Linked DNA regions of Cricetulus griseus. The protein of the gene in region 1 purifies or fractionates together with the protein of each later gene. This does not show direct contact. Links are inferred from orthologs where the notes say so. Each region holds a gene or a part of one and is shown in the gene's direction. Other genes may lie near its edges.

What was found.
Region 2: the proteins of Taf6l (region 1) and Atxn7l3 purify together in Homo sapiens (affinity purification with mass spectrometry; 6 studies listed by BioGRID and IntAct, with this or other methods). This does not show direct contact. The link is inferred for Cricetulus griseus from reciprocal best matches to the Homo sapiens genes TAF6L and ATXN7L3.

Annotation. Positions count from the first base shown.
Region 1 is NC_048596.1:51,313,467-51,317,269, forward strand, and holds part of Taf6l (TAF6-like RNA polymerase II p300/CBP-associated factor-associated factor 65 kDa subunit 6L), read left to right. Parts: intron 1-2,364; coding exon 2,365-2,439; intron 2,440-2,556; coding exon 2,557-2,777; intron 2,778-2,988; coding exon 2,989-3,121; intron 3,122-3,803. UniProt on the Homo sapiens protein: Functions as a component of the PCAF complex. The PCAF complex is capable of efficiently acetylating histones in a nucleosomal context. The PCAF complex could be considered as the human version of the yeast SAGA complex.
Region 2 is NC_048600.1:115,805,311-115,809,699, forward strand, and holds the start of Atxn7l3 (ataxin-7-like protein 3), read left to right. Parts: upstream 1-1,559; 5' UTR 1,560-1,868; coding exon 1,869-2,045; exon of another isoform or gene 2,046-2,360; intron 2,361-2,773; coding exon 2,774-2,884; intron 2,885-3,166; coding exon 3,167-3,299; intron 3,300-3,509; coding exon 3,510-3,681; intron 3,682-3,865; coding exon 3,866-3,963; intron 3,964-4,132; coding exon 4,133-4,155; intron 4,156-4,389. UniProt on the Homo sapiens protein: Component of the transcription regulatory histone acetylation (HAT) complex SAGA, a multiprotein complex that activates transcription by remodeling chromatin and mediating histone acetylation and deubiquitination.

The DNA of each region.
Region 1 (3,803 bases):
GGTGTCTACTTCCTGTCCTCTATAGATGAACTAGTTGCTATGGTGGAACCCATTCTCTAGTGGTGTGTGGTCCTACTATGCCAGCCCTGACCCCTTAACGCTCTAGTAGACTCTCTTGTTCCCTAGGCAGTGGCAGCACAGCAGGTGCTGTTAGTAACTGTTCCTACACCTTCATCCCAGATTCCCTTTTATTTTATTGTCTGTCTGTCTCTCTATTGTGGTTTTTCAAGACAGGGTTTCTCTGTAGCTTTGGAGCCTGTCCTGGAACTTGCTCTGTAACCAGGCTGACCTCGAACTCACAACAGAGATCCAACTGCCTCTGCCTCCCGAGTGCTGGGATTAAAGATATGCACTACCACCACCCAGCTAGATTCCCATTTTTTGAGGTATCTACTGATCTGGAGCCAAATGAGGCACTTATTTTATTTTATTTTGTGTGTGTGGTATTTTGAGACAGGGTTTCTCTGTGTAATAATAGCCTTGGCTGTCCTGGAACTCTCTTTGTAGACCAGGCTGGCCTCTACTTCGTGAATGCTGAACTAAAGATGTACACCACCATGAACATCAAAGCCTTTGTTTATTTGGACTGGGTAAGGAAAGGAGAAGAAGAAGTAGAGGTACAAGTCAGGTCTCCAGCCAGGCCTGCTCTGCAAAGGTTGTTCCTGGGCTGGTTCCTGCTGCTATTGCTTTAGCCTCTGGACACAACCAGAGATCTTTCCTCAAAGTCACGCTTGGGGTTTTTTGTTGTTGTTTTGTTTTGTTTTGTTTTGGTTGGTTTTTCGAGACAGGGTTTCTTTATGGCTTTGGAGGCTGTCCTGGAACTAGCTCTTGTAGACCAGGCTGGTCTTGACCTCAGAGATCCGTCTGCCTCTGCCTCCCGAGTACCGGGCTGTGCTTGTGTTTTTCTGTGTGACAGTTAAGATTCCCCCATGTTCTCATATCTGACTGCTATATCACTTAAAAAACGAGGACCATTGCCAGCACCATTTCTGTCCTCAGAACTTGACTGCTGAGCTAGCCATGCATTGACCAGCATGTGCAGAGGCCTGGATAGGAAGTTCTAACACTGTAAGACAGATTAAACACACACCAAGCAGGCATGGTGGCGTGGTTCTGTAATCTCAGCACTGGTAGAAAGATTGAAAGTTTAAGGCTGAGCTGTGGGCTACTTTATAAGACCCTGTCTCAGTAGAGAACAAAGGAAATAAAAACTTAGCCCTTGCTGTGTTTCTTAGTCCCCTATGGGTGGCAGCTGTGCACCTGGGAGCTAAGCTCTTCTTCACTTTGAGATCTTTAGAGGGTTTGGAGGGTTTAGATCATAGTGGTTTATGGATGAGGTGGATTTCTTTGATTGGTTTATGTTTTTGGAGACAGGGTCTCCCTATGCAGCCCTGGTTGGCCTGGAACACTCTATGTAGACTCAGCTGACCATGAACTCAAGAGATCTGCCTGCTTACTTCCCCAGAGCTCTAGGATTAAAGGTGTACACTGCCATGCCCAGCTATTTGCTTTTTGTTTGTCTGTTTTTACACAGGGTTTGTGTGGCCTTGGTTGTCCTGGAACTCACTCTGGAGACCAGGCTGGCCTAGAAATCAGATTTGCCTGCCTCTGCCTCTAGTGCTAGGATTAAAAGCATGTACCACCACTTCGCCACTTTATAATATTTTAAAGAATTTATTTTATTTCACTTTATTTATTTTGGGGTTTTCAAGACAGGGTTTCTCTATGTATCCTTGGCTGTTCTGGACTCCCTCTGTAGACCAGGCTGGCCTCAAACTCACAGAGATTTTCCTGCCTTTGCCATCTGAGTACATGGACTAAAGACATATGCCACCACTGCCCGACTGAATTATTTATTTCTTATGTGTCTGGTATTTTGCCTGCATTCATTTATGTAAGTGGGTCATTTTTGTTCAGTGCTTAAGGAGGTCAAAAGAGGGTGTGTATCCATTAAAGCTGGAGTTATAGACAGGTATCATATATTAGGTGTGTGCTAGGAACTGAACTCTGGTCTGCAAGAACAGCAAGTGCTCACTACTTAACCATACCAATATGTATTTATTATGGAGCTACATATAATATAAAAGCATATAGTCTTCTCATATACTTGTTTGTTCCTATTTACAAATTATGGTTACATTAATAAAAACATAAGTGGTATCTGGTTTTACAACTTACCTTAGCTCTTGTAGACCAGGCTGGTCTTTAACTCACAGAGATCCACCTGCCTCTGCCTCCCGAGTGCTGGGACTAAAGGTGTGTGCCAACACCACCCGGCAGGTCATGAACATTTAACATAACACATGGGTGCAGTGTTCACTCACCCTCCAGTTGGTTCTCTTTAATTGAAGTGCTTCTTTTCAGGTCGCCCTCCAGGACCTGCAGACAAACTCCAAGATTGCAGCACTTCTGCCTTACTTTGTTTATGTGGTCAGTGGGGTAAGTGACCAATTTCCTAGTGAAGGTGACCCTGCAGTGTTTAGGGCTCATAGCAGATGCTGTCAGAATGGCAGGCTCCTGTCTATGTCTTCCTGAGTCACCCACTTTTACCAACAGGTGAAATCTGTAAGCCATGACCTGGAACAGCTGCACCGACTACTGCAGGTGGCGCGGAGCCTGATACGGAACCCACACCTGTGCTTGGGGCCCTATGTCCGATCCCTGGTGGGCAGTGTGCTCTACTGTGTCTTGGAGCCACTGGCCGCCTCCATCAACCCTTTGAATGACCACTGGACTCTTCGGGATGGGGCTGCCCTTCTACTCAGCCACATCTTCTGGTACCCACTGGGCTCGAGTTGAACAGGGTGGGATAGCTTACAGAGTCAGTTGGGTTGTGGGAGGGGTACAGTCACAAATGCCAAGGTATCAGTCTTTTGTGCCTTGGATCCTGGGCCATTCAAACCTGGAAGCCTGTCCCAGAGTGCCCTACAAATGCTCAACTCTTTGTGTTTAGTATCTCATTCCCTTTCTTGACTCTTGCTCCCACAGGACTCATGGGGACCTTGTAAATGGCCTCTATCAGCAGATTCTGCTCTCCCTGCAGAAGGTCCTGACAGACCCTGTTCGGCCTCTCTGTTCTCACTATGGGGCTGTGGTAGGGCTGCACGCTCTAGGCTGGAAGGTGAGAACCCTGGCTTTTCTCATAGGTCTTTAAGAGTTGCCATGTGTGTTGGAAAAATCACATTCATGTGTATTTTATTGTAAAGCTGGTGTGTTTGATGCCATGTATTGAGACCTTGCCTTGGGCCAGGCTTATTGTATACCTTGACTGTGTATATGTAAATGTATCATCCCTTCAGAACCCCTGCTTGATACCTGTCTTTACAGTGTGCTCCACTGTTCTGTTTTTTATGAATTCCTGCCCATTCCATAATTCCATGTTAGGAAACACCCTCAATTTCTTTATCTCCTTTTCTCTTTTGGTTTTTTGCTTGAGACAGTGCTTGTTTTGTAGCCCATACTGGTCTTCGATTTGGGATCTTCTTGCCTAAGGCACCATAATTGGCTTCAGTTTCTATTTAGTGTTTTATAATCCAGTTTTCTTGGAATAATTCTGTTTATTTTATTTTGAATTTATATTGACTTTTTTGGGGGGATGGTTCAAGACAGGGTTTCTCTATGTAGCTTTGGAGCCTATCTTGGCACTCGCTTTGTAGACCAGGCTGGCCTTGACCTCATAGAGATCTGCCTACCTCTGCCTCCCGAGTGCTGGGATTAAAGGCGTGTGCCACCAACGCCAGGCTATATTGACTTTTTTTAAGTTGTTGAGAAATATCAAGTAATCTTGACCGTGTCATCTTTCT
Region 2 (4,389 bases), on another chromosome or scaffold:
TTCCAAGACAGCAGACAGAGCCACCTAGATGTGAGCGCAAATCTAAACATCTTCTGTGGCTGAGAAAAGCAAGGTAAGGAGGCGAGAGCACGCGGATAAGGGCACTCCTAGAGGAGCAGCACTTAGTGTAGGCAGAGTCTGGCCCGTGCCAAGCAGGCTGTCTAAGAGGTGGAGGGTCCAGCGTGGGCTCCGGAAGCAGGAAAGGCGAGCAGGTGTGGGATCTAAATTAGGAAGAGGGCGTGAGAGCGCGCTCCGCTCAGAAGGGCGCAGCTCGCGCTCGGCGGTGGCCCTCTGCCCCCTAAGCTTTCCTGGGTTCGGAGACCTAGGGTGGGCAGTGACCCACCCAGAACCCCGGAGAACGATTCAGACCAGACCCTCCTAAGGGCTGTCCGTCCTGAGCGTCTGACTGCATCCCACTTCAGGCCCATCCTCCTCACACAAGTGACTGCATGCCGCGGGGTCAAAGCGGGGAGCGGCCGGGGAGCAGAGCCGGGAGCCCCGCGGGAAGGGCGGGGGGTGCCTGGGCCGGAAGGCGTCCCAGGCTCGGCCGGGAGCCGGCGCTCTCTTTCGACGCCACCCCGTTGCCTCCGCCCCCGAGCCGGCCGGGACGGCACACAGTCTCCGCCCCCGGCGCACCGCGCACCTCACCTTGAACGCTGCCCCACCCACCTCTAAGCCTATTGGGCCTCCTGGGCCGAGGAGGCTCGGCGATTGGCCGGACTGCCCGCAGTGGCCCCGCCCACGTCCCCGCCCCAGTTCCCGTCCGCCGGTACTTTGGACGGCGGCGTGGCGCCCCTCCTCCCCTCCCGGTCCCCGCCCCCTGGAGCAAATGCTGCCGAGCTGCGGCCGCGGGGCAGATGCACGCGCTCGGGCCCTTCTAGCAAGCGCGAGCTGTCGCTGGGCGCGCGAAAGCGAAAGGAGGAAGAGGAAGGGAGGGCGAGGGCGGGGTGTTGAGGAGGGGCGGGAGGAGGAAGAGGAGGAGGTTGGAGCGCGCTCGCGCCTGGCCTCGCGCCCGCGCCGAGGGAGGGGGGAGAGGGGCGCGCGCGCGCACGCTCGCGTCCTCGCTCGCTCCATCCATCCATCCTCCGGTCGCGGCACGCGCGCGCGCTCCGGGCTCGCGCCGCACCCCCCGCCCGGGAGAGGCGGGCTGGAGTGGGGGGCGGGGGAGGGGCGCGCGGACGGCGCGCGGACTGCGCGCGGGCGGGGTGAGGTGAGGAGGAGGAGGCGGCGACGGGACGAGAAGGGAGGGGAAGGGGCCATGGCCGCCCGGTGAGGCGGCGAGGCGGGGGGGCAGCCCGACCCCCCGGCCCCGGGCCCGGGCCCCGGGGAGAGGCGAGGACGGACCGACGGACATGGGGCTCCGGAGCAGCCGCCGTCGCCGCCGCCGCCGGAGGACGCGGCCCTGAGAGGCCGCCGGGCCCCGGCGCGGCCCCCCGGGCGGGGTGAGTACGGAACGGGGACGGGGAGGGCCTGCGGGGGCGGGGGGGGCTCGAGGCGGGGCTTGGGCCCCCTCCCCCCAGGTCTGGGTCAGCGCCCCTTCCCCTCCCCCGGGCCGACGCGGAAACGCCCGGCTTTCCCCGGCTTCCCGGCCGGGCCGGGGCCCCCCGGTCTCCCCCTGGCTGGGTCCTCCTTGGGCGGGGCAGGGCCGGCCGGGGAGGGGGCGCGGGGCCTTTGTTAGGGAGCCAGGCCCCAGCCCCCGGGACAATAGAGATACCCTCCCGGACTCCTTTCCCCGGCCGGTCCGGGCTCTGGGCTGGCGGCGACCGAGAGGGGTCGGGACGCGTCCCACTCTGCCTACTCTCTGGGGGTCGCTCTGTCCCGGCCCGCCGCTGGCCTTGGGCGGCTCGGCTCTCCTCCCCCCAGTCGGTATGATGCAGCAGCAGTGCCGCAAGGACGGGAGAAGAGCCGCGGCCCGGCCTGCTACCCTTCCCAGTGCCCCTGGCTCATTTGTCAGTCCCCACCCCACTCGAGGCCGGCAGCTCCTTAAACTCGTACCCACCATTCAGTGGGGCCCCGAACTGTGGGCGCTGTTTCTGAACCCAACGGTGGGGATTTCTGGACTTTGGGGCTCTTGGAGAGACTTCCGGGCTGGTCCTGAGGGAGGGAGGAGGGTGCGATCTAAAAGAACAGGTAAGGGGAGTGCCCACTCCTCGAGTGCTTGCCACGGGGCTCTCCTCTGCTCCTGTTCGTGATGGCTGGAAATGCCCTTTGCCTGTAGGCTTCTGTGGGCTCCTTTCCTCTCCTAGAACGGCAGGCTTATTTTAAGAGAAGGCAGTGGGGTGAAGGTTGTAGGGTCTTAGGGCCATTCCTACTTCTGGTAGCAGTACCCCCCCAAGTGGACATCCTGGCTGAAAGCAGAGGTGACTCTGAGAGCCCTTAGGGAAAGGGGGGTTGTCTTGAGTCTGTGCAGTTCTTTGCCACACCCTGTGGGTTTGCTTTGAGGCCTTAGAGTTCCTTCTCCTCCCCCTGCTGCATTGCACCATGGGTATCAAAGAGGGGTTTGAGTTTTGGGTACCTGGGATGAGCTGCTGCCTCCTATAGACTCAGAGTCTGATTGGCAGTACAGTTCAGGGCCTGAGCTTAGGCCTGGGAAGGACTAGGCCACCTTTGGTTTCAGGCCCTGAAAACCATCAGACTTAGTGATTCGGGGCCTTGGGGAGGGAGACTCTCTGATGCCAGGATTAAGCCCTGGACTCGGAGGTGGGGAAGGGGAGGTGGCAGTCTTTGGAGGTGTCTTGGACTCACACCAACACCCCCACCTCCATGTGTGCAGCCCTGTTGCCGCCCGCTGTGCTATGAGCAGTCAGAGCGCCGTCTCCACAAGAGTTTACAAATGAAAATGGAGGAAATGTCTTTGTCTGGCCTGGATAACAGCAAACTAGAGGTGAGGGCTCCCCACGTGTGCCTCTGGTTCTTTCTCTTGATGTCTCTGCCTCGCTGTATCTGGCATCTGTGCCAAAGAGGAATTTGGGTAGTCAGCCTTGTTCCTTAGATGGAACAGCCAGCTGAAAAGACCAAGGATCTGGGAGGAAGAAAAGTAGAAAATCAAGGTGGGGAAAGTGGCACAGAAAGCAGCATGTTTGGTCGGGATATTTGGTTTGTGAGGGTTGTTCAGTTCAGGGGGCTGCCACCCTTGTGACCATGGATGTTCTCTCCTGGGGCCCAGGCCATCGCTCAGGAGATATATGCGGACCTGGTGGAGGATTCTTGTTTGGGATTCTGCTTTGAGGTACACCGGGCTGTCAAGTGTGGCTACTTCTTCCTGGATGATACGGATCCTGATAGCATGAAGGATTTTGGTGAGCTTCAGGGTGGAAGGAGAGTGGTCTAGCTCTGCCCCTCTGCCCGGGGGGACTTAGAGGGTTCTCTAGAAACTGCCCTAGATGCAGACCCTGGAGCTCCTGTGAGCTTAGGCAGGGATGAGTTTAAAGAGGGTATGGGACCATAGGTGAGAACAAAAGGTGAGGGTACTCTGCCCCCTCTGATCGCCACGCCTCTCCTGTCCCCAGAGATCGTGGACCAGCCTGGGTTGGACATCTTTGGACAGGTTTTCAACCAGTGGAAGAGCAAGGAGTGTGTTTGCCCCAATTGCAGTCGCAGTATTGCTGCTTCCCGCTTTGCCCCCCACCTGGAGAAGTGCCTGGGAATGGGTCGTAACAGCAGCCGAATCGCCAACCGTCGGTGAGAACCTCTTTGCTGCCTGTTCCAATGATAGACATCTTGTGCAATCTACCATGGTGTAGTCCCATGGGGCAGGTGGCAGGGTGCAGAGGGTAGGCTGTACTTGACCCTCACATACTTGACTATAAAAATAATGTGCAGATGTGTGATAACCTCGACCCTTTCTCTTCTCAATTCTGGGTAGGATTGCCAATAGCAACAATATGAACAAGTCTGAAAGTGACCAAGAAGACAACGATGACATCAATGACAATGACTGGTCCTATGGCTCAGAGAAGAAAGGTGTTTGGGGAACTGGGGCAGCCTGGGGTGAGGTGGGAAAGCAGGGTTAGAGCATACATTTGCCATAAACTGTCTTGATGATGGGGGAAGAATGTAGTTTTTAAAAACATGTAAGTGCTGAGACTGAGAATTTAAAAGTAACTGTGTTCTTTGTTCTGTTGTCCCCCAGCCAAGAAGAGAAAATCAGACAAGGTGAGAGCCGGGGCGAGCATGGGGGAAGTTTGGGTGAAGGACAGATAACCCTCCCTTTTGGGCAGGGAGTGCTCAGGTCTTTTGACTCAAGTGTGATGTCACTGGGGGGGGGGGCTCTCTGGGTTTGGGAATAAGGGTGTCTGGTGGGCAGGGGAGCTCCCTCTGGTGGGAGGGAGGGAGGAAATAATAGGCAGACAGACAGACCTTACCGGGGAGGAATAGTATGAGTTTGAG